3 linked regions of the Rhinolophus ferrumequinum genome follow. The protein of the gene in region 2 interacts with the protein of the main gene of each other region in a pairwise test. Links are inferred from orthologs where the notes say so. Each region holds a gene or a part of one and is shown on either strand. Other genes may lie near its edges. The genes, in order: AMOT, SEPTIN1 and AURKB.

Region 1 (7,693 bases), on a different chromosome or scaffold from region 2:
TAAATCACATTCTCCCTCTCATCCCACCACCTTTTAGAGTGCAGAATTTGATGGGTGTTCCTGGGTCCCTCTACCTCCCTCTTGCTCCAGCTAACCTAGGACTTTGCAAACAAACCCTACCGAGAAGTAAGGACAGTCTGGGCCTTTCCAGAAACTCAAGCTGTGGAAGGAAATATGGTATTTAGTTAAACTGAAGTGAAGCCCTGCATAAATCATAAAGCGGTGAACCCAGGTTACTCAAACAAGACCCTAGGAGGTGCTTGGGGAATAGACTTTTTCATGCAACTTTATTTTTCTACAGCTGATTTATTTCAAAAATGCTGGGGCCCACAAATACCCCAGGAGTAACTTGGCTCCCAAATGCTACAGAAGGTTTTGGCCTTGGAGCACAGTTCTGGTGTTTCCTGAATTCCCACATTGCTGTTTTCCACACAGGGATCAGACTTCAAACTTCCTGTGTCTGGCCCATATGTGTGTGTGTGTGTGTGTGTGTGTGTGTGTGTGTGTGTGTGTGTGTGTGTATGCTTGGAAAGGGTGAGAAGGGGAGGGGGCGGATCCAAAAGGAAGAGCATTTACCTCAATGCTTACATTGCACACGTGTCCCTTTGTTCCTTTCCCATTCAGATAAAGCTGCTATTTTCTGATGAGCTCATTTCTGCATGAGAAGGGCTAGTATCTTTGTGAATAAATAGACTGACTTTAGGAGGTGTCCCATGAAAGGCTGCTTTTCAGTGTTTGTCTGATATATTTGTCGGGTGTTTTTTGGGGGAGGGAAGGAGAGAGTTATGTGGAACCATAAATCCTTAGGATTTATTTTCCCTAATGTATGTGCTTTTGTTTCTAAATGCATTTAAATGATTTAGTTGTTCACCAGGCAATTAGAGGAAGATGTGCTCATTTCACACTTGCAGTTGGCTTGGTGGGTGGGGGAGAAAGTAATTCAATAGAAAGCACTATGGTTTTATGGTCTTTTCTTCTAGAAGAATTTAGCCAGGGATTGAGGAATAGACTGTAAGCCGCATCCTCCTTCTTAACTTTTCCTGTACATTGAGCAAAAATATTGCATGCAAAGGGCAGACTTTTTAAAGATTTTTTTAGTTGCCAAAATTAGGAACCAGGAGATTTTCCATTAAAATATTTGATTTCTGGTCTGGTTTCTCTTGAAAAATCGAAGTCCTGGCCACATTGGGCCTGCATTTCCCACGGTGCTGACCATGGGAAAGCTACCCCTTTACATGGGTCCTGCCTTCTTGGCAGCCTACATCTTGGTCTTATCACCTGACACCGAGCCTGAGGATTTTTACCATTAATTTTTTTATTGTTGTAAAATATACATAACATAAAATTTATTTACCATTTTAAGTGTACAATTCAGTGGCATGAAGTACATTCAAAATGTTATACAACCATCACCACTATTTCTAGAAATTTTTCATCATATCAAACAGAAACTGTGCTCATTAAACAGTAACTCCCCATTCCTCCCAGTCCTCAGGCCTGATAGCCCCTATGTTACTTTCTGTCTCTATGAATTTGCCTATTCTAAGTATCTCAGATAAGTACAATCATACAATATTTGTCCTTTTGTGTCTGGCTTCTTAGCATAATGTTTTTAAGGGAGACATTGATTTTTTCATTGACTTATTTTAGAGCATAGACATTGATTTTTACTGCATGTTAAAGGAGGAGTTACATTTCATTGAAAACAAGGCCAACAGGACAGATCATTTGGGATGGAGACTTGACTTCTAAGCTTAAAATGATCATTATATCCATTATTGATAAGTGGAGGTTCTCAATGTACTTAAACAACCCAGTGTCTTTATACAGGTGTTTTATAGTTGCTGGTTAATTCTGGTATCCCCCAGAGGCTTCTCCATATCTTATTGTCAGGATATGAGGACATGGGGATGCTCTGGGGGTTAGTTAAATGTGTGTGGCATACTTTGCTGCATAAACTCACTCTGGAACTAGCACTTAGCATATGCTTGTTAGTTGTCTTTTTCTGTATATACCCTTGAAGGTAGGAGCCAAGTCTCATCCCTCTGTTTTTTCATTCTTGTCCACAATAGCAACTCTATCGATGTTTGTTGATGTTGGCCTCCCCTCCCCCTTCCTTTTAAGTAGGGCTGGTAAAGCATAGCTTTAAATTCAAACTCAGTTTAAACAAACCAAAGAGTTTTCAGGGTAGAAACAAAATGAACTCTTGCTAGGCAGGAAATAAGGAATACCTAAGCTTAGAGATCTGGGCAAAGCACAGGTACGAAAAAACCTGTTGTTTGCCACAGGCTAAGAAGTGAATCACACACGTGATCGACCATCAATTTCAGAGCTGTGCTCATTCTACTCCACCAAAACTTAAATTTGGAGAAGAATAATATCCAAGGCAGAATTTGAGGAGGGGGAATTAAGTGTTTTAAGGGTTTCCATTGTATGAAAGTCCCCCATAGCTGTGGGGAAGTGTAGTTGGAAAAGTCTTTTGATTGCAACTTCAAGGTTAGGGGCAGGCATCCTAGAGACACAGCCTCCAGGCCTTTGTACTAGGATTTGTTTGCCAGTATTTTCTGTGATGGCAAAAGATGGAAAATGGCCAAAATCACCTCAAAAGGGGAATGGGTAAAATAATTTTTGCACATCTGTGTAATGGAACACTGAGCTATCACGACAAAGAATAAGGTAAAGGAAGTTATCCTGAGATGGATGGATATTTAAGAGACATAATATATTTTGAAGATTACACACAGGCATAGAGAGAAAGGGAGAAAGGGACTATGAGAATGGAGTGATGGAGAGGAACTCTGTATTCCTTTCAGTACTGTTTTAATTTAACCCTGTTCATATTTTACTCTTTCCATTTTAATAGCGTTGTTAACAAGTATCCTGTTGCCATTGTGATCAACAGTAGTCTGTAGCATATACTCATCCTATCTAACTCCGCTGTCCACCTCCTCACTCCAAATAGCAAGGCAGGAATAATCTTCCCTTGATTCACAAACCAGGTGTCTCCATGTCTTTAACGCTCACAATCTCACCTTCTCCATGAAAACTCACCGGAATAACTTCACCTCACACATATATAGAATTATACCAAGAATCCATTTTGTCCATGCTCCGGCTTCTGAATCTTTCAGCAGCCCTAGTAGAGTGCTCTACACACTGAGGCTACCCTACAATATGGCACCTACTCACCACTTTTCCTGTGTGTTTGTGTGTGTGTGTGTGTGTGTGTGTGTGTGTGTTTATATTCTGAGACCCTGTTCACTGTGAGATAGTGTTCCCTTTGAGCACACTTTTCTTGCATGCCTTGATCCATGGCCCCTCAGAAAGCTCCCATTAGGCAGGCTTGAATTGGATGTCACTTTTTTTATTGGCATGAGTTCATTACAATAGCTCTGTGTTGTCAAGGCCTTTATATTTAGACTTGCTTCCTCCTTCTAATGTTTTCTAGGAAATATGGATCTGTAGAGAATGGTGGTTTCCATGGTAAATGTTCCCTCATATTTGTTTTCTCAAGTTCACTTCAGATATACACAGCATGATTTACTTTTTCAGTACCAGTACCGTTGTGGCGCCACTGCAGAACTGTTTAAAAAAGTAATCTCACCCACCCTGGTTAGAAAAGGGGTAATTTTTTATTCTAACTGCAGGGAGCCAACTTCATATCCACCCCCAAAACTGTAGGAAAAGAGTTGACTTACTAAAATACAGCCACAAAACCTACACACCTTGGATGTAAATGATTAAAACAGATGAGCAGAATATTTGATTCTCAGACACATGTGAGTCTCTCCAGGGCATAGTATACACAAGTAGGAACACATACATACATACATACATACATACATACATACATGTGGGCGTGGTTTGTGATTTATACAGTTTTCACACACAATTCATTTTATTTTTATATACAAGTGCAATTAAGTAATAGGGTATGTTTTATAGCTTTTTAGATAAGCAAATTAAGGCTCAGGGATGTTAAGCGACCTCACAAAAGTCACACAGCTCCCTGGTAAGTGCTAAAGCCTGATATGAGTTCTTCCTTTAGCTCCAAATTCCATGTTATTCTGCCACCCTTAGACTGTTTCTCTGTGCTTTCATTGCCCAGATGTAAAATGGAAGATTTTCAGTGTACCAGGATGCTGTTCTCAACTCTCTGTGTTCTTAAGCAACATCAATTTTTCACCAACGGAAAATGTGAACACCTCATTGACACTTCACGTACTTTTCCCTCTCCTGGACTAATTAATTAAAGGGGAAGAAAAGTTACCTATCCCCAGAGGACCTGACAGTGCCATAAAGGTGTGCCGGAGACTGCTGACACATTGTCGCACTCTCTTAGGAGACTGAGAAGCTAACCGTCTCAGCTTTCTCTTCTCAGCAGTGGCTGGGGAGAACAGAGAGCAAGACAATAGCCTCTTGTTTAGTTTTATTAATTTTGAGGGCGGGTGGGATCGGATCGACAGCGCAAGTCACCAATCGTAAGCGAATCCTAGGCCGGGATTAGCCAACCCATAGTTGCAAACGAACAGTGGATGGGATTTACCCTTTCTGGGCCCACTCCGCAGGGGCCGGCCCTCCCAGCCTGCCCAGGGGCGGAGGCTGCGCACAGCCCCGCCCACGCCAGCCCCGCTGCCAGCGCGGCCCGCCACCAGGGGTAGGGGCTTGCGATGTGAGTGTGGTGGAAGGAAGCGGGAGTCTAGGGAGAGCGGAGGAAGAAAGGAGGATGTCTTGCAGAGCTGCGACCTGGGTGAGGGCCTACTGGTAATAGGAAGCAAGAAGGGAAGGAACATGAAGAAGCGTTGCTCCTTCCTGCATTATTTTAAGCAGGCTTTGCAAAAAGCTGCTTTTCAGCATTTCTATTATTTGTTTTTCTTCCTCCTGCTGTGGGGCTGGGAGCTTCACTGGCCCTCCCACGCGACTCTGCTCCGCTGTTGCCGTAGATTATTATTGTAGTCTTTGTAAAACCCTTCCCTTCCTCCCAGCCAGTCCTTGCGTCGATTCTCAGGGCTACTGTAACCGATTTGTGCCATGTTAGTGGGAGGACCAGAGCGAGAACCCCCCCGCCTTTGCCCGAGCGGTAAGACCCGCCATTCAATTGTTTGAAACTTCCCCGCCCTCTAGCCCCACCTCTCTTCCGCCCTCTCCTTCCAGGCTCCAGGCAGGCCCCCTCCCTTCTTTCCCCGCTCTCTACTCCGCCCCCTCCCTAGTCCACTCCCGGCTCCTGGGCGGTCCTAGCGGCTCATCGCAAGAAGAAAAGCCACCCATTCGCCCCCCTCCCCTACCTCTCATCCTTTTCCCAGGAGCTGCCCTCATCGCAGTCACGCCCCTTCCTTCCGAGGAGCTTTCTGACTGCCCAAGCTGGTAGACCCCTGATTTATTTCTCCATCTCCTCTCTCTTTGGCTTTATCTTCTGTTAGTTCTCACCACCCCCTCCACCCCCACCTCCAGTCTGTCTCGTCTCCGACTATCCGCTGCTCCACCCTTTGGCCCGGTATCCTGCCTATCCACTGCCACCAAGGAGATCCCGGAGGGAACAGCGAAGAGGAAGCACCCAGGAATTGGGGCTTTCCCCCTGCCCATCTCTGGCCTCTGGCCTGGGACCGAAGCCACTTGAGCGAGTAGAGACTCGTCACCTTGTCTTCGTTGCCTTCAGGGGTAGGAGACGCGTGGTTACTTTTCGCGGGGTAACTGGGGCAGGAATCCATGGTGGCATGAACTTGATCATGCCCTCGGCATAAGTGAGTCGATCTACATGCGTGCGGGTATGCCCGTGTGTTCTGCTTTCTTTGCAGTTGGCCATGAGTTTTTCGAGATGTGCAGCAAGTTAAATCGGTTAAAAAGTGCGTGCTTCTTTCCCGTCGGAGATGCTACTGGGTACCACAACTTGATGTTACTTTTACTTACTTGCCTCCCGGGGTCTTAGTAGGTCTCTAGGTAATTAAGTACAAAAGAAATTAAAGACCTGAGGGAACTCGAGATCTACATTTAGCTCAAGGAGAAAGTCCATGCTTATCTCAGATTGCTAGATGTGTTCCTCCTAAATTCTTAGGGTTGGGGTGGGGACCTTGAATTCTTGAAGTCTTAAAGTCTGGGAGTAATCTACAACGAACGCTACACTTTTTTGGTGAGTGTGTGTGTGTGTGTGTGGTGTGTTGAAGAGGAGGCTGCCCCTTATCTGCTTTACATGTTAGTGACTAGTTTTGTGGGATCATGCAGGTATGTCTTGAGGGTCTTAAACCTGTGTCATTGTTGGTGCTTCAACAGCAAGATGGACTTACAGATATATGAAGATATATATTGATATATTTTCGATAGGATAAGTGAGAGGGGAAGTGGCAGTCTTTGTAGACTGTGAGCAGTCCCTGGTAAATTGCCACTAATAATTAATAATAATTTGCAGCAAGGGACTAAATAGAATCAAATGAGATAGGTAAGGGAAAGTTTGTGTGAAACAGCATTTCTAATCTCTAGCATGTACTTTAGAAAGAATTTTCCAACACCTTGGAGTGTCTAATTTAGTTCTCCTTCCTCCTCCCTTCCCTTCCACCCCCACCACAAGAAGAATGGAAGTTGGGAGGCAGTTTATTTTGTTTTAATATAACCCTCTTCTCCCATTCAGAGAGGAAGATAATTGCCTTGTTTCCCCAAAAATAAGACCAGGTCTTGTATTAAGATTTGCTCCAAAAGACGCATTAGGGCTTATGTTCAGGGGATGTCATCCTGAAAAATCATGCTGGGCATATTTTCCGGTTAGATCTTTTTTTCAGGGAAGCACGGTAGTCACCATAATCTTTAATAATGGAGGGCTAAGGTTGTTTAAGTCTCCTTGAACCAGACTTTGTGCAAAGTCCTTTCTCAGGCCAGCCTTTGTGAAGCCTTCTCAGTTAGACCTTCCAGAACCCTCATTTAGTAGCTAAGAATAGTGTAAGATACCATTTGGATCTTACACTATTTGGATGCAGGGTAAATTTTCACCCATGTGCCACCTATCTCCAATTGGGCAAGCATGGCAAACTTAGAAGAATGGTGGTATTCAAAGACCTATTACCAAGATGTCCCCAACCCATTGCTTATTTGGCAAGAAATTATTGACATATTTTTAAATAATTTCACTGGTTGATTTTGATGGGGGGAAAGGAAAGCAGGAAGGGAAAGGGGACGTTACAGGTTACAGGGCAACAATTTTAAAGGCTATCTATCGTGTTTCAGATCAACTGGGAGGGAAAAGTTGGCCTGACCAAAACTACATTTTATAAATGGCCTGGGACATTTTAATAGCCAGGTGGTTGTAGAGTAGTTGCATCTATTTAGAGATGATAACACTCAGGTTCTAGCTATTCTGTATGGGCTTATCCGGTGTCATTTACAGACACTTTCTGGCACTACATCCTACTTCGTTTTAAGATACTTCTTTCTTTGGAAAGGTCTGGCTATGTAAAATTGAAAGTGCTTTTCCTAACTTCATAGTCTAGATATGAAGTAAACCTCTGACCAGGCTTGTATATCGCGTAACTTTTCTGTGAAAGTTGTGGATCTCTTTACCTATTTAAAAGATTTTAGAAGGGAATTTAAAAACTCATATTCAATATACTCTTTTGTATTTGGAAATTAAAATCTTATTTCTGGTTTGTGAAGTAGGATTCATTTTGTGGAATTGCTTTATCTGTAGTTTTATAAAGAATCAATCAGA
Region 2 (7,223 bases):
CAGACACCTTCACAGGGAGAGAGCTAAGAGGAGGCAGATAACCAAAATCCCAGGAGATAGACAGAAGCAGACACAGCAGGGGAGGCCTCTGAAGTCACTGGAGGGTGGGGGTCGTGAGCGTCCTGGGGCCAAGGGCGATCTGGAACCATGGCTGTCTATGCCCGGCCCCTCAGGCAGTTCTCAGCCCAGCCTCCAGCCCAGGGAGTCCATTCTGAGCCTCCAGAGATTTGGGCTCCTTCAGGCGGCTTACTTCGCCACCTTCCCCTAGTCTAGCCTTGCACATCATGCTCCCAAACGTCCCTCCACCCCCAGATCAGAGACGTCAAGGCTGAGCTCAAGTTTGATCATGACTTCAGGCTTCACGTGGGGCCGAAGGTCAGCGATCCCCACACACACCTTCTGCTTGAGGGCCTGGGTTTCCTTAGGCATCAGGGCATCCGCTTTGCCAATGACGGGGATGATATTGACCTTCTCGTGCACCGCCCGGAGGAACGCCACATCCAGGGGCCGGAGCCTGCACCCAGGGATTGGCCAGGGCTTGGTCTCGGGGTACAGAGACACTCCCTCCACACCCTTCCCAAATGCCCCAACCCCCAGGGTGTCCTCCCAGACCCCCGGCCAAAAGGTGAGATGAAGTAGAGGCAGCAATGGACTCGGGAATCCTGGATGTTCTTCCGGTTCAGGCCACTCTCATCCCTCAGGTACTGTTCAAATTGCTCCTCAATAAAACGGACCACGGGCAACCAGCTGGGGTGGGGACAGAGGAGAGAGCGTGTGGTCAGAGATCAGGGGACACGTGGCAGGGAACGGGGAAGGCTAGCCAGGACTGGGCGTGGGTGGCAAGTAGTTTCTTGGGCTCCAACCAAAGAAATCCGTGAAAACTGGCAGGGGCATAGGTGACAAGTCGGGAAGCACAGGGCACTTGGGGCCACGTGGCCACCACGCAGGCCCCGCCTTTGGGTCAGGGTGGGTGGGAGGCAAGGGCAGACCAGCCCTGTACCTGAGCCCTCAGTCTCCACAGAGCAGCCACGTTTGGCCTGAGCTCTCATCCCTTCCCCCACTCCTCACCAGTCTGAGCAATCCACTGAGTCCCCAAAGCCAGGGGTGTCCACCAGGGTCAGCTTCACCTTAATACCTCCCTCCTCGATCTCCACACCCCGCCGCTCGATGGTCAGCGTTTGAGTCAAGCGAGCTACGGGGACAGGAGGAGGTCAGAGAACTGGATAGGGGTCTGAGGTGGGACGAGCTGCCTTTCTCAGCATCACAGTTGCCCCCACCAATTTTTCAGCAGAATCTCAGAGACCAACAGTGAGCTGCCCGAGTCACCCAGAAAGTCCTGGGAGACCCAGATAGAAAGGAAGAGAATCATCTGGGGATATCGGAGCGGGGCAGGGTGCCTGGAGAGGCTGGGGAAGGTCTTACCACTGGCCTCTGGCAGTTGCCGATCCGCATAGAGGTTGGTGAGAAACAGGCTATTGACGAGGGTGGACTTCCCCAGGCCTGACTCCCCTGTGGACAGACCAGGTCCCCCTGGTCAGGTGAGGGGACAGCCAGGGTCTCTTGAGGACCCACACCAGTCCCCTCTCCAAAACTCCCAGACCTGCCACCATGAGTGTGAAGTCGAAGCCCTTCTTGACAGACTTGCGGTGCAGCTGGTTGGGGAGGGCTGCAAAACCCACATACTCCTTGTCCTGTTGGTGGGGGGGGCAGACAGTGTGAGGCTCCTGGGAGTGGCAGAAAGGGCCCCCGTAGAACCTGATCTCAGTCCACTGTGGGTAGACCTGGGCCTGGTGACCCTGGGGCTGGGGACGGGGGTGCAGAGATGCCTGGATTCCTGGGCGTAAGGACTCACCATGGCCCCGCTAGCTGTTGCTGTACCTGCCGTCTCTCCCCACTTCCTCTGATGGGGCAGGAAGTTGAGCGCAGCAAACAAGGGGGCGGGTTATGTAGGAGGCTCAGATGTTCTAACTGGCCCGGAGAGGTGGGGGAAGCCAACACCAAAGACACCTGGGGTCCTCACCTGGATCCCTTTGCCCATCCATCCTTATAGGAAGCTTCAACCCGTTCTTTGCACAACTTTTCCCCAAAGTTCCACTGTAGCCACATCACCCTTGTGGGAGGTGGGGTGTAGGCAGAGAGGAAGGAAGCAGGGTAGTCTCTCCAGCAAATGAGATGAAGGCTTTGACAGGGATGGTTTAAAAAAAAAAAAAAAAGAATCCTAGGACCAAAAGCCATAACAGGACTGGAGGTGGCAGGGGGCATCAATTTTCTTTGCCAGCTCATGCAATGGATTATTTGATTTGTCAATTGATTTATTTTGCAATTTTGCAATTGTTAAAAAGACTTCGGGTCTTTGGACAACACTGCCAGAGAGACCTTCCTTCAGAATCCTGGCCAAGGTGTTCCCCTGCTTGAAACCTTTTAGGGGCTCCCCAGTGACCTCAGAATCAAGTCAGAGCCGGCACCCAAAGCCTTCCCCTCTGGCTTCATCACCCCATTATTAACTCGCCCTCACTGAGTGGCCCCATCCTTGACTCTGCCCAGATTGAGGTGTTCCTTCTGTACCTCTTCATCCTTCAAAGGGCTCTTCCTCTTCTGTGAAATTTTTTCAGCATCTTTTACAGGCCCTTCCATTGTCCACATTTGCTTCCCGGGCTGTCTCTTCTTCCAGCTGAGCTTTCTGAGGGCAGTGTCTTTCACAGGGCCTGGCACAAAGAAAGGGCCGATAAATAATATACTGCACGAAAACGTGCATGAAAGCATGAGAAGTGAAGTTAGGCAGGGCCCAAGGCCAGGAGGCCGTAGAACATATAAAAGCAGCCTTGCTTTGAGGAACTTCCACTTACCATGTGACCTTGGGCAAATCCTGTGACCTCTCTGAACTCCATTTCCTATTGGTAAAATGAAATAGCACATTTCCACTTTGTTATCAGGACTCCGAGTAGTTTCGGATGGCATGGGCTTTGGAGTCAATCAGTTGTATACACAAACTGGCGTTAGCATTTAGGAACCAAACGACCTCTCCTCTCTGAGCCTTTAAAGCTCGTCTCCTGCTGGGTCTGCAACCCCATCTGCTTTGTCCACTTGTGGTGCTACTATTTCCCCTTTAGCCCGTTATGGACGGAACAGTGTTCCCCCAAAATTCATGCGTTGGAGCCCTACCCCCCAATGTGACTATATTAGAGACAGGGCTTTTAAGGAGGTAATTAATGTGAAATGAGGTCATAAGGGTGGGCCCCGATCTGATAGGTCTGGGGTCATAAGAAGGAGAGACACTAGCAGTCTCTCTCTGCTCAGGCACAGAAGACAGCTGTCTGCCACCCAAGGACAGAGGTCTCACCATAAACCTACCCTACTGGTACCTCAATCTTGGACTTCCCGTCTCCAGAAGTATGAGAAAATACACGTCTGTTGTTTAAGAGTCCTCATCTGTGGTATTCTGTTATGGCAGCTTGAGCAGACTAAGGCAGCCTCTTAGCTCACTCCTCACCCCTCCTCGCTCAAATGTGTAATTTTTTGGTTTGTATACATTTTGAGAAATGTGTAGTATACAGTACATGTTTATACAAATGGTTTTATATGTATGAATATATATTTGTTAACGTTTTCATTCAGCACTATTTTTTTAAGATCCATCCATGTTGCCATCTGTATATCTCACCCTTACTTCAACCTAATTTCTAGTACCATTCCCTTTACGTAACCTTGGGAAAAATCACCTCTCTGGGCCTTAATTTTCCTCATCTATCAAATGGGATTGGAAACTCCTGCCACACTGAATTCACAGTTGTTGTTCAAGTTTCGTATGATGACAGAGATTAAGAGCTGTGTCATCTTACTAGCTGTGTGACCTTGGGCATCTTACTTTAACCTCTCTGGGACTTAGTTTCTTTATCTGTTAAATGGCACCATATACAATTCTATCTCACAGAGGCATGATGAGGATGACATGGCCTAATACACATACAGCTCTCAGTACAGTGCCTGGTAGGTGAGATGGGCTCATGCTATTACGTGACCTGAGGGGTGTGAAATCTAGTGACTGCTCCTGTGGATTAGTTGCAGAAGATTAAGTGAATCAGTCAGAGTTGTGGTCCTCTGGGGAGACAAAAGACAGGCACAAGGGACAGCATTGGTGCTACAAACGTGTGAGGGGATAGAGTCCTCTGAGAAGCCCAGGGAAGGATTAATACCCCTTCCCACTCCGGCTTAGTCAAAACTCTGAACTCCTCCCTCCCTCGCTTTCCACAAGATATATCCAGTTGGTTTCCAAATCCTTCCGTCAATCAGAAAAATTGGTCCCCTTCTCTCTATACTCTCCACCCCCTTGCCCCTGCTGAGTTCAGATTCCGATCAGCTCTTTCCTGAGTTATTCAAAGCCTTTAAGAAAAGAACATGTTTATTTATTGGATAACCAACACATATTCTCATAGAAAAAAAAGAAAACACAAGTGGATTAGAAAAATTAACATCACTAACACGATATAACACCATTTTGATTTTTATGTCTAGATTTTTCTCCTATGCCTATACATATTAATACATATATAGTTATAAAACTAGGATACTATAACTTTGTTTGGAAACCTATTTTTGTTACTACGTTCTATACATCTCTAATACACCTCTACGTTATTTTTATGGACGCTTAGTATTTAGGTTGATTCCCATTCTTCACTGTGATAAACAGTGCTGAGCTGGGATGAACGTGTGTTGGGTACCATCACTGTGCACTTGTCCAACCATTTCCTTAGGCCTAGTTTCTATAAGGGGAATTATTGAATCAAAGGAAGTCACGTATGTAAGGCATTTGTGCACATTAACAGATTGCTCTGCACAAAAGACGATTGGCTGGTCTTTGTGTTAAGTGTAGAGATGACATTTATTAATAACGATGCAATGTTCCATTTACATGTTTATTAACTCCAACAAATCATACCTAGTCATTCACGTGATAAAGGATGGGGCTTGTTTGGAGAAAAGAAGGTCCCCATCTTGAGCTTTCTGTGGGACAGTGTATGGTGGACAGCAGTTTTCCCATTTCATTATCAGCTGGATTAGTTCATCTTGCCTTGTTCTTCATAGCTCCCTGTGGCCTCACCAAGCATTCCTGGAAGGGCTTCTGTATCTTTAGCCCTGAGTTCAAGTTCAGATCTTTTAATTCCAGGCTTTGTCGTCTCAAAGTCAAAGTTAGCTCTGTATGCATGTAGGCTGGCCAGCTTTTGGGGGGAAGGTTCCTCCAAGAGAGGATGGCTCTTTGCCATCTGGTTCCCCCCTTACCTGTTTCCTAGCACAGGTGCCTGGCACATGTTGACCCCAGGAAATGTTTGTGGCATAAATGAGTAAACTTACCGTACTATCCTTAGCTCCCGCTGCTTTCCTACTATGTCAATTCACACAGCATCTAAACAGGACTATTCTCTGTTTTCCTCTTAGAGGATGTCTTTTTTTTTTTTTTTTTTTTTTTTTGAGGATAAGTCTTAATCAGCTTTGGATCTCAAGCTTCTAGAACAAAGCAGGTTTTCAATTAGTGTGTGGGCCACTGTTCATTCCGTTCCCTCTATCTAGAATTCTTCACTTCAGCCAGGCTCTGGACTTTGAAATCTTAGCTGTCCTTGAAGCGTCAGCTCAAAAACGCCACATCTTGCTTCATTACTCCAGCCTAAAGAGTAATAGCTGATATTTTTTGCAAAGGGTTGTCCACAGTATCAATCCTCCACCATTCAAATTATCATTCTTCCTGATTTACAGTTTAGGAAACAGAAGCAACTTCCCAAGGTCAAACTACAGTAAACTCTGTACACAAATGACTTCAAAGACACGTCCACAGCCGCTAAACTCTACAGAAGGTCCCTCTCTGTACTACGGTCCCATCAGAGCTTGTTCATGGGGACAGTATAGGATCTGTCACGTCATCTGCACTGTTTCCATCTTCTACTGGGTTGAGAGCCCTGTGCTGTTTCTTTGCATTTCCACCGCCTAGGCAGTGTCTAGATATTGGATGGTGGTCCCGGGCAAACTCATCTCCCACTACAGGTGCAGGTACCTCTCATACCTTAAGTTTGTTATTGTTCATGATTTGTGGGCTTGCCTCTTTAAACTGGTAGCACCCCAAGGACAAATCTCGTATGTGTTTCATCTCTTTATCCCAAACTCTTGGCTTGGCACTCGGGTGCTACTCAAGGTGAATTAAGAAACCTCCGTTATCCCTCCCTATCACTAGATGGGCTGCAGACACTTCCAGGCTTTCTTTCCTCCTCCCTAATGGCAAGCTTGCCCAAGGTATGGATCCTGCAAACCGTGGGTATCCGGCCGGGGGTCTGCTGGAACACAGCCCCAGCCGGGGCCCCACCAAGCTGGGAAACAGGGTTTAATGGTCCAGCCTCTCCCAGGGCTTGGCCTTTGTAGGGCTGTCGACCTGCGTCTCTTTTTGTCTGCCTGTTTCATTGTCTGTTCCTCCGCCTCTGGGCCTTTTTCTCTCCAGGCTCCGGGTCTTTTCTTACAGCGCCTCCCGACTCTGCTTCAACGACTTTCTCTCTTACCTGTCTACATCTCTTTGTCTCTGGCGGTCAATCTTTTGCTCCGGTATTTTGGTATGCTGCTGGCTCGCTCTCTCTTTCTGCCTTTGCGGCTTCTCTGACTCAGGGCTGTTAGGTTACGACTTTGAGTCTCTGGCTCAGGGTCTCGGTTCCGGGGCCCAGGTCTGATTCCATCGGCCCGCCTCTCCCCAGGCGCGTCCCTAGAGGTATTCGCCTCTGCCTCTGCTCCAGCCTTGGTCTCCCCCACCCTAGGCGGGCCCGGCCCCCATCCCCCACCCCAGCCCTCGGCCTCTCGGACCGGCCTGGCTTTGTTTCCTGCGCCTCGGCGCCCCGCCCCGCCCCGTCTGGGGTCTCCGCCGCCCTCCGCCGCCCTTTGTCTGCCTGGGTCTTTCCCCCACCCCTTTCCCTGGGTCAGCCTTCGGATCTCTTTGTCTCTCCGGGCCCGGGTGGTTGGCGCTGTCGGCCGATCCCGCAGGTGGGCGCGGGTGGCCCAACCCAGCGACAATTAGAAAGAGTCTCCGGCTCTCAACACCCAGCTGCAGCCCAGGAGGCACACGGTTAATACCACCGAGTTCGGGCCACTGTCCTCGGCTTAGAGTAGCCCTCTCCGCAGCTCGCGGTCGCCCGCCGGCAAGAGCTCGGGACGACCGGGAGGCCCCCGCAGGCGCGCGGCTCCTCCAAGGT
Region 3 (7,283 bases), on a different chromosome or scaffold from region 2:
ACGCCCAATCTCAAAGTCGTCAATTGTGAAGGACCGGCTGATTAGAGAGTGGGGGGAAGGCAGCTGAGTACCAGTTTGTGGATCACCTGAGCTGTTTGGCTTCTCCCTGCACCTCAGCTCATCCTGCCCTCAGCCCCATTTCTCTTCCAAGGGAGTCGAAGATGGATCAGGTTTTCTTGCCTGCATCCCTCCTCCTCCTGCCCCTAGCTTCTACCTCCCTCATTTCCAACCTGTTCACTCTCCCATCCGCTCTTCTTGCCACCCCAAGGCTTGGGCACTTACATTAAGTTGGGTGTCCCACTGCTGTTCTGGCCATGGGCAGCTAAGGAGAAAACAGAGAGGTTGAGGCCGTCCTTTGACATTTTCATCCCCGCACCCTCCCCAGACTCTAGTTCCTTCAGGTCAGTCCTCTTCCCCTTGTTCCAGTTACCTGTGGGCTGGGCACTGGAGCGGCTCATGAGGACAAGCGAAGATGGGGTGGCAGGCTCCTTCTGGAGGACTCTCTGAGGCAGGGTGTTCAAGCCAGAATGAGCCTGAGAAAGAGCACAGGGAGCTCTGAGGGTGCCTTTGTCCCAGTGACCAGGTTGGAATGTGCTACAAGCAGCATTCTCGCTTAGAGCCACCCACTCCCAGTTGAAAGAGGAGCACTGTGACCACAATATTGCTACTCAAATATTGCTGCTCAGAGCCCCATATTAATGGGTTATTAATAAATAAGCTAAACGGGCCGAAGATAAGGAGCAAAGGACTTACCCCAACACCTAACATTTCACCTCATTGGCCTTGGCCCTCACTACATTCTCTAGCATGAAGCTGTCCAATCTCTATAGTCCTGACCATAACACCACTCGTTCACCAACCCCCCACCCCAGGGGACAGTAGAGAGGGCTGGGGCAATGAAGATCCACAATTCAAGGAGTTTCAGCACAGAGGCATTCTCACAGTCCCCTAAAGAGTTCAGTCTAGTAAGGCTTAGATAAGGTCCTTGAATGTTCAGCAAACATCAGTTTACCCCTTGCAACCACAGGCTTTAGGGACACTGAGGGCTACTTTGTTGGCTTTGGACCACTTCTCACTTTCAACTTCTGGGTAATATACACAACTTCCTTCTGGGAGTGACCAGTGTAGAAGTGACAGTGGTTTCTCACTCAGCCTCTGCTCTTGACAGCTCCATGAGGGAGGGAGCTGGTAGACAAGGGGACAGGTGGACCCTCCCGGATACTGAAGCCCACAAATAGGGAGCAAAGCCTGTGTGGGCTCCTTCCTTTTAATTTAGCCAAGAGAGGAAGAAAGGCTATTCCCAAACAGTGATATTAGTATAGAATTTACATGTTGTCACACAACAGCCTAGCAGACTGTCCCCCCATGTCTTTCCTTAAGGAAAGAAGAGTCTGTGAGACTGTGCATCCCTGGGACTGTATATTTCTCTCTATTTAGTCTCCAAAAGAGGGGTTGCAGCCAATGACGAGTACGATTCCCCACGGGAGGGGGGGGGACAACTCAAGCCAGGCGGAACCCCATGGAGACCCCCATGAGCTGCCTTAAAAAGATTTGGGAAGGGGCCTTGTCTCCCCTTCCCCCTGCCTGGGAAAAACCACTGCTGACTCTCTGGTTTTCCCCTTTCACCTAATTGTGAGAAAAGTCTTTAGAGCGATAAGATCAAGCTCTCTCTGCTCAGCTCTATAAAACAGTCTCAACATGTGATATACATCCTTTAGGGAGTCACATACCTCACCTCAGTCATCATAGGACTTTTGCTTCAGCTGTTTGGGGACCAACATAATTGATTTGGATTGTTTCTATAACGTGATGGATGAGTCTCACAGACTGTGTCAGAAGCAATAACACTTCCTTGTATACTTGTCAATAGATACCACCAGTCGGCTTTATTCTGGGCTCCAGTCTTTGAGAACTGTGAGTCCCCTGACCTTCTGAGATTTAACTGCATTAAGTCTCTGTTTCTTTCTTTCTTAAAAACTTAACCCAAAGCCGCCCCTTCTCGCATCCTCATTGCCCGTGTTGCGCTGGACGCGACTTTTACAGATAAGCAAGTTGAACAAAAGAGTCTAGAAATAGACCCACGTATATGTGGGAATTTAATATATATAATAAAGCTGGTATTTCAAATCAGAGGATAGACTCTTCAATGAAAGGTGTTGGGATAACTGGAAAATAAATCTATTTAGATCCTTATCTCACACCCGTCATTAAAATAAAGTCCAAATTATTAAGCCTATTTTTTTTCAGGACAAGGGTTGGGAATCATGGCCCGAAGGCCAGACCCTGCTTGCTCAGTCTGTTATCATTTGTATATAACAAGAAGGCTCAGCCCTGCAGAGGTCCCTACAAGACTGGTCAGATTCAAGTTGGCAGCACGTGACCGGATGTGGCTGCAAATGATCAGACTAGATTCTGCCAGCAAACTCTTGGAGCATAAGGGAGAGGAAAGTGCTTAGAGGATCGCCCTCTACAGGAATTCAAATCTCGAAGCAGGAACTCGCCATGAGGGTGGGGGGAGGATAAGTGGGAAAGCCCTTACCTTCTGTCGGCCGTAGGGCCAGGGGTATGCGTTCTCCTTCTGAGTCATCTTTAGAGGGAAAGGGGGAGGAGAGCTGAGCAACGAAGGAAGAAAGAAAGAGCCGTTAGAAACAGGAAAAAGAGGGAGAAAAGGAGGGGTCGGACTGATGTAGCCAGACGCGATTGCCAAAGGCCAGTGAAAGTGATATCAGCAAACTGACCGCTTCAGCGCACCCGGGAGCTGGCTTCGCGGCCCCCGCCCTGCTACAAGCCCCACCCCTTTCCAGGACCCTATCTCTAAACCTTGAGCACCCAGCAGCCGGACCGAGTGCGCGCGGGCCAGCCCAATGGACCCCAGACCTGTCTGATCACTTGCCTTCTCCCAGCGCAAGACCCACGAAAGAAGGTCAGCTCCCCTGGAGCCCGCGGCACAGCCAACCTGTTGTCTGCTAGCAAACGACTGAATCGCCCCGGCCGCGCCCCCCGCTAAGGCCCTTTCAAATCTCCCGCCCTAGCCCCATTGGCTGAGCGCACCGCCCAGGCCCAATGCTCATTGGCTGGGTTTCCCATGACGTAGCCCCGCAGGGTCCCAAAGGAAGAAACTGAATGCGAGCCGCAGCATTTTGGGGTTCTGGTTTAGGCAAGTTTCCCTTATTTCCCAATCAAATATTCTCATATATATATATAAAAATATTCATATATATATATCTTTAATATAGCTGGAATTTACCCCTGTGTATGTATGAACTAGGGTCTAACTCTGTTTTCTGCCAGATAGAGAGCCAGTTATGCCAGCACAATTTGTTAAACTACACCATGCCTAGTGGGATTTATTTATTTATTTACTTGTTGTTTGTGTTTTTTTTCCAGAGTCTTTCTATGTTTCTCTCATATATAATGCCCAAGGATTTTAGTTATCCCCAGTGGAATTTAAATGCTACCCTTGATATATGAAGTCATCGCAGATACTTGGATCTAGACTCAATTATAGTAAATTATTCTTGTGTCATTACTATTTTGTTCTTTAAAGTCTTTCGCTCACCTTCCTAGTAGTTTTCCACCAGCAGACCTTTCTCTGCAGGTCTCCTGATGAAGGCCGTGTTATTTGGACTGACTCTCACTTTCACTTTCCGGCGACCCTCCCTACTTTTCTTTTCTTTCCGATCCCAAATTTTATTATTGGGTTAAATAAATACATCTTGAGACCTTCTATGAAATAAATAACTAGCAGATATTTCTAAGTAGTAGTATTGCCTATCCAGCACCCTTCCTGTCTTCAAATAATAACACCCTAACTTTGCTTTAGGGAACTGCCTGTCTCCGCATTCTTGTTGTCAGTTTCTGTTGCTGCTAACTCCAAATCCCTAACCTGATAAAGACCTTTTGTAGCGGACATTATGCTTAGCTAGCCAGCATCCATGCTCTGAGTGATTTCCACTTCCTGAAAGCACCTTGAGTTTTGTGAGATGAAAGCTGACCCCATCCCCGGTCCAGGAGTAGACCCTGTTTGATTTACATGTCAACACCTTTTACTCCAGGATCATGGTCACTGATTCAGGGATAAACATGTGACCTAAGGTGGCCATTTAGTGGGAATCTTAGAATTCTCCAGAACGCTAGGCAGAAACTCCTTTTCTCCTGTTAGAAGTGGACCAGGAAGCAAACAGCCTGGCATTGATGCTGGTGGTGCTGCCTGAGAATGAAGGTGACATTGCAAAAGGTAGGAGAGATGTCTGGGAAGAACCTAAGACCTTGATGATATGTTTTGAGCCTCTAGATGCCTATCTCAACATTTTCCTTACATGAGGCAACAGGTCTCCTTTCCTAATGCAGAGATTTGAGGATCATGACCACCCTGCTGCCATTTGTGAGAAATCATTTTGCTTCTGGAGGTTTTCACTGAGGGTCAACCCAACCCCACTTCCTAAGATCTGGGAGCCCTTTTCAATAGCGATGCCTTCATCAACATACTTGGCGTAGAGAGACTAGCCAATAAAAAGCTTTATAAATATCCTATCACTTGCAGTACAGTTTATTTCTCAGGAGTTAGTGAAGGGAGACTCTTTTGGAAGCTATCAGGGGACATAATGCCTGATAGATCTAATACAGTACCTCTGTCCCTTGGAGTAATTAAATTCCCACTTGCACATTATGTCAGAACATATTTGGCTTTTCAGGAATATTTGATGGGCGAGCATAAAATTGGGATTTGCATTATTCATAAAAGCAAAAAAAAACCTGTTCTATCAGCTCGGCAACTATCAGCTGACTGTTTCCGTTAGTGAACAAAAATCTCTGTTATAAATGATCTGTGAGGGAAGAACCAGTCTTGATTATTTTCAGTCTATCACAGATGATACTTGTATAAAATACAATAAAAATGAGTTCTTGAAAGAATGAAATCTAAAAAATATAAAAATTACAAGCCCACATTTTTGTTTGTTTGTAATCAACATATATAAAAGTACTCTGACAAATGCCGTATGAGTTTTTAAATGCTTACTTTTAAATTCTATACTTATCCTGGACCTGAAAGAAGCAGTTTGTGAAGCGGCATCAGTCTGTGGACCACACTTTGAACATCACCAATCTACACCCATAGTGATAAATGTAGCCCCATCCAAAATTATGCTCACTGTCCTTAATCTGGCACACACAAAGTTGACACTTCTGCAGATATTCCCTGGGTTTATAATGACATAAATTAGCAATTTCCTCTAAGGAACTCTTTTCTTCTTTCCTCTTGCTTTGCTTTTCACCTCTCAGTCCATGTTAGGTGTGGATTCTGGCTACTGGCCAAGTAACAATGAGAGGGGTAGGTGAGAGGGGATCACCACTGTTTATCTGCCAAGGCTGAATTTTCATGTGACTGGGAAGGCTCAGAACTGTGTTGTCTTCCAAAGTTCAGGGCAGGATGGCTGGGATACTATAATGTTTGGGAGGCACAGATGTCAGTACCTTTTATTTTAGATAATGGAATATCCACCAAAGAAATTTCAAGACATGAATTCTCATCATCAGCCAAGAAACCCTGTCCAGGAGTGAGTAGTAGACTCAGAAAGGTCTAGAAGGGGCTCATTGGGAGACGCTGGCGAATATCGCCAATGTCTTTTCACTAACTTGTCCCCCTTAAGGTAAAGCTGAAGCAGTGCTGCTGAGTTAAGTGGGTGCGTCAGGACATGGCTGCCCTCCTCCATCCAGACTCCCCTAATCATCCCCAGGTCAAACTTCATTGCTGGGTTTGCTCTTGGCTATTAGAGCCCAAGTGTTCACCTTTGGCACAAACCACCGGCCTGGACAAAATGTGTCTCTGCCACGATGATGGAAGTCCTGTCCAGGTCCATTTACGTGTCTTCACAGATTGGATCAAGATGGACAGTGCCACAAGCCTCTACACTACACTTCTAATACATTTTAAAGACTTTTTTATTGAAGTGTACATACAGAACATAAATAGCTGGATGACTTTCACAAACTAAACACCCCTGTGAAACCAGCACCCAGATCAAGAAACAGAACATCTTCAGCACCCCAGGAGGACCCCTCGTCCTCCTTTTCCAGTCACTACCCCCTTTCCCAAGAGTAACCACTATCCTGATTTCTAACTTCATAGTTTTGCCTGTTTGTCCTTTATAGTCATGGAATCATACGATATATATTCTCCTGTGTCTGACTTCTCTCATTCAACGTTATGTTTGTGAGATTTATCCATGTTGTTGATGTACGGACTTTGAAATATACACGAACATGATAACATTTACACAGGCTAGTTAAAAGTAAGTCTCTCTACCAACTTTTTTTTTTTTACAGTAAAATATGTCAAGTTTTATTCATGAATTTGTGTTCACATTGACAGTTAAAAACACAAAGGTCTTCTTCTCAAAGGCATCATGAAGGGGATTACAATAGATGAAATGAATTAAAGTCATGTAAGTATATAAAAGTAAAATGCCACGTGACATCTATAAACTGGGCTACTTTGTGTTGCTGCTCCATGTCCAAGGACACAAGCTTCTAGATTTCCTAAGTGAAAGGCTGGGTGAAATTCCCTGGAAGTGAGTAATTGCATGGTCCATAAAAAAGTGTCAACCAGTGTTCTCTGAAGTGGGCATAGCCATATCTCACACAGTATCCGTCCTGTACCAAGAACCATTGTTGAGTAGGTGGGGGTACCACAAAGACACTGCTCAATTCAGTGTTGTTAAGTGTGACATGGGAGCTGGGAACCGTATACTCCCAACAAAGTTCAGCAGAAATTACCTGATTCCTTGGTGTATAGGTAAGCTAGGATTGAATGACAGCTTCATCAGAGAAAACCTGTGTTACAATTCCACAGAGACTAACAGGATAATCAAATTCAAGTTGGTCTTGTCACACTTCAATTGCCTGATAGCCACTTCCCAGAGATAATTCGTTACGGCCTACCAGTTGATCTTGACAAAATAGTGCTCTTTAAGCTACAGCGTAGAAATTAAAATGGCTGCATTCCACCAACACTTGCCCAGAACACATCCAAATCAAGGAAACAAGTAGAAGCTGCAGTCCTCCTAATTCCACAAAGGCCTTCATTATGCTAGATCTTGGGCTAAGAGCTCCTCAGGCAGCAGGCAGTTCTGTCTACCATCTTTAATTGTCTACTCCTCTACTCCCATCCCCAGAAGCAACCACTGTCATTAGGTTCTTAGGTGTCATTCCAGAATCCTTCTGTGTGTGTATGGGTGTGTGTGTGAGTGTGTGTGTGTGTGTGTGTGTGTGTGTATTTCGTT

Evidence for each region.
Region 1: the proteins of SEPTIN1 (region 2) and AMOT interact in binary tests that used the Homo sapiens proteins (3 or more experiments, as listed by UniProt). The two-hybrid records come from large-scale screens. The link is inferred for Rhinolophus ferrumequinum from reciprocal best matches to the Homo sapiens genes SEPTIN1 and AMOT.
Region 3: the proteins of SEPTIN1 (region 2) and AURKB interact in binary tests that used the Homo sapiens proteins (3 or more experiments, as listed by UniProt). The link is inferred for Rhinolophus ferrumequinum from reciprocal best matches to the Homo sapiens genes SEPTIN1 and AURKB.

Annotation. Positions count from the first base shown.
Region 1 is NC_046284.1:41,286,353-41,294,045, forward strand, and holds the start of AMOT (angiomotin), read left to right. Parts: upstream 1-4,690; 5' UTR 4,691-4,750; intron 4,751-5,239; exon of another isoform or gene 5,240-5,658; intron 5,659-7,693.
Region 2 is NW_022680357.1:742,225-749,447, reverse strand, and holds the start of SEPTIN1 (septin-1), read right to left. Parts: upstream 3,100-7,223; 5' UTR 2,959-3,099; coding exon 2,847-2,958; intron 2,706-2,846; coding exon 2,566-2,705; intron 2,180-2,565; exon of another isoform or gene 2,039-2,179; coding exon of another isoform or gene 2,021-2,038; intron 1,939-2,020; exon of another isoform or gene 1,856-1,938; coding exon of another isoform or gene 1,853-1,855; intron 1,692-1,852; coding exon 1,601-1,691; intron 1,510-1,600; coding exon 1,423-1,509; intron 1,193-1,422; coding exon 1,069-1,192; intron 748-1,068; coding exon 613-747; intron 515-612; coding exon 397-514; intron 1-396. UniProt on the Homo sapiens protein: Filament-forming cytoskeletal GTPase. May play a role in cytokinesis.
Region 3 is NC_046304.1:10,789,301-10,796,583, reverse strand, and holds the start of AURKB (aurora kinase B), read right to left. Parts: upstream 3,025-7,283; 5' UTR 2,894-3,024; intron 2,613-2,893; 5' UTR 2,588-2,612; coding exon 2,540-2,587; intron 534-2,539; coding exon 431-533; intron 323-430; coding exon 283-322; intron 38-282; coding exon 1-37. UniProt on the Homo sapiens protein: Serine/threonine-protein kinase component of the chromosomal passenger complex (CPC), a complex that acts as a key regulator of mitosis.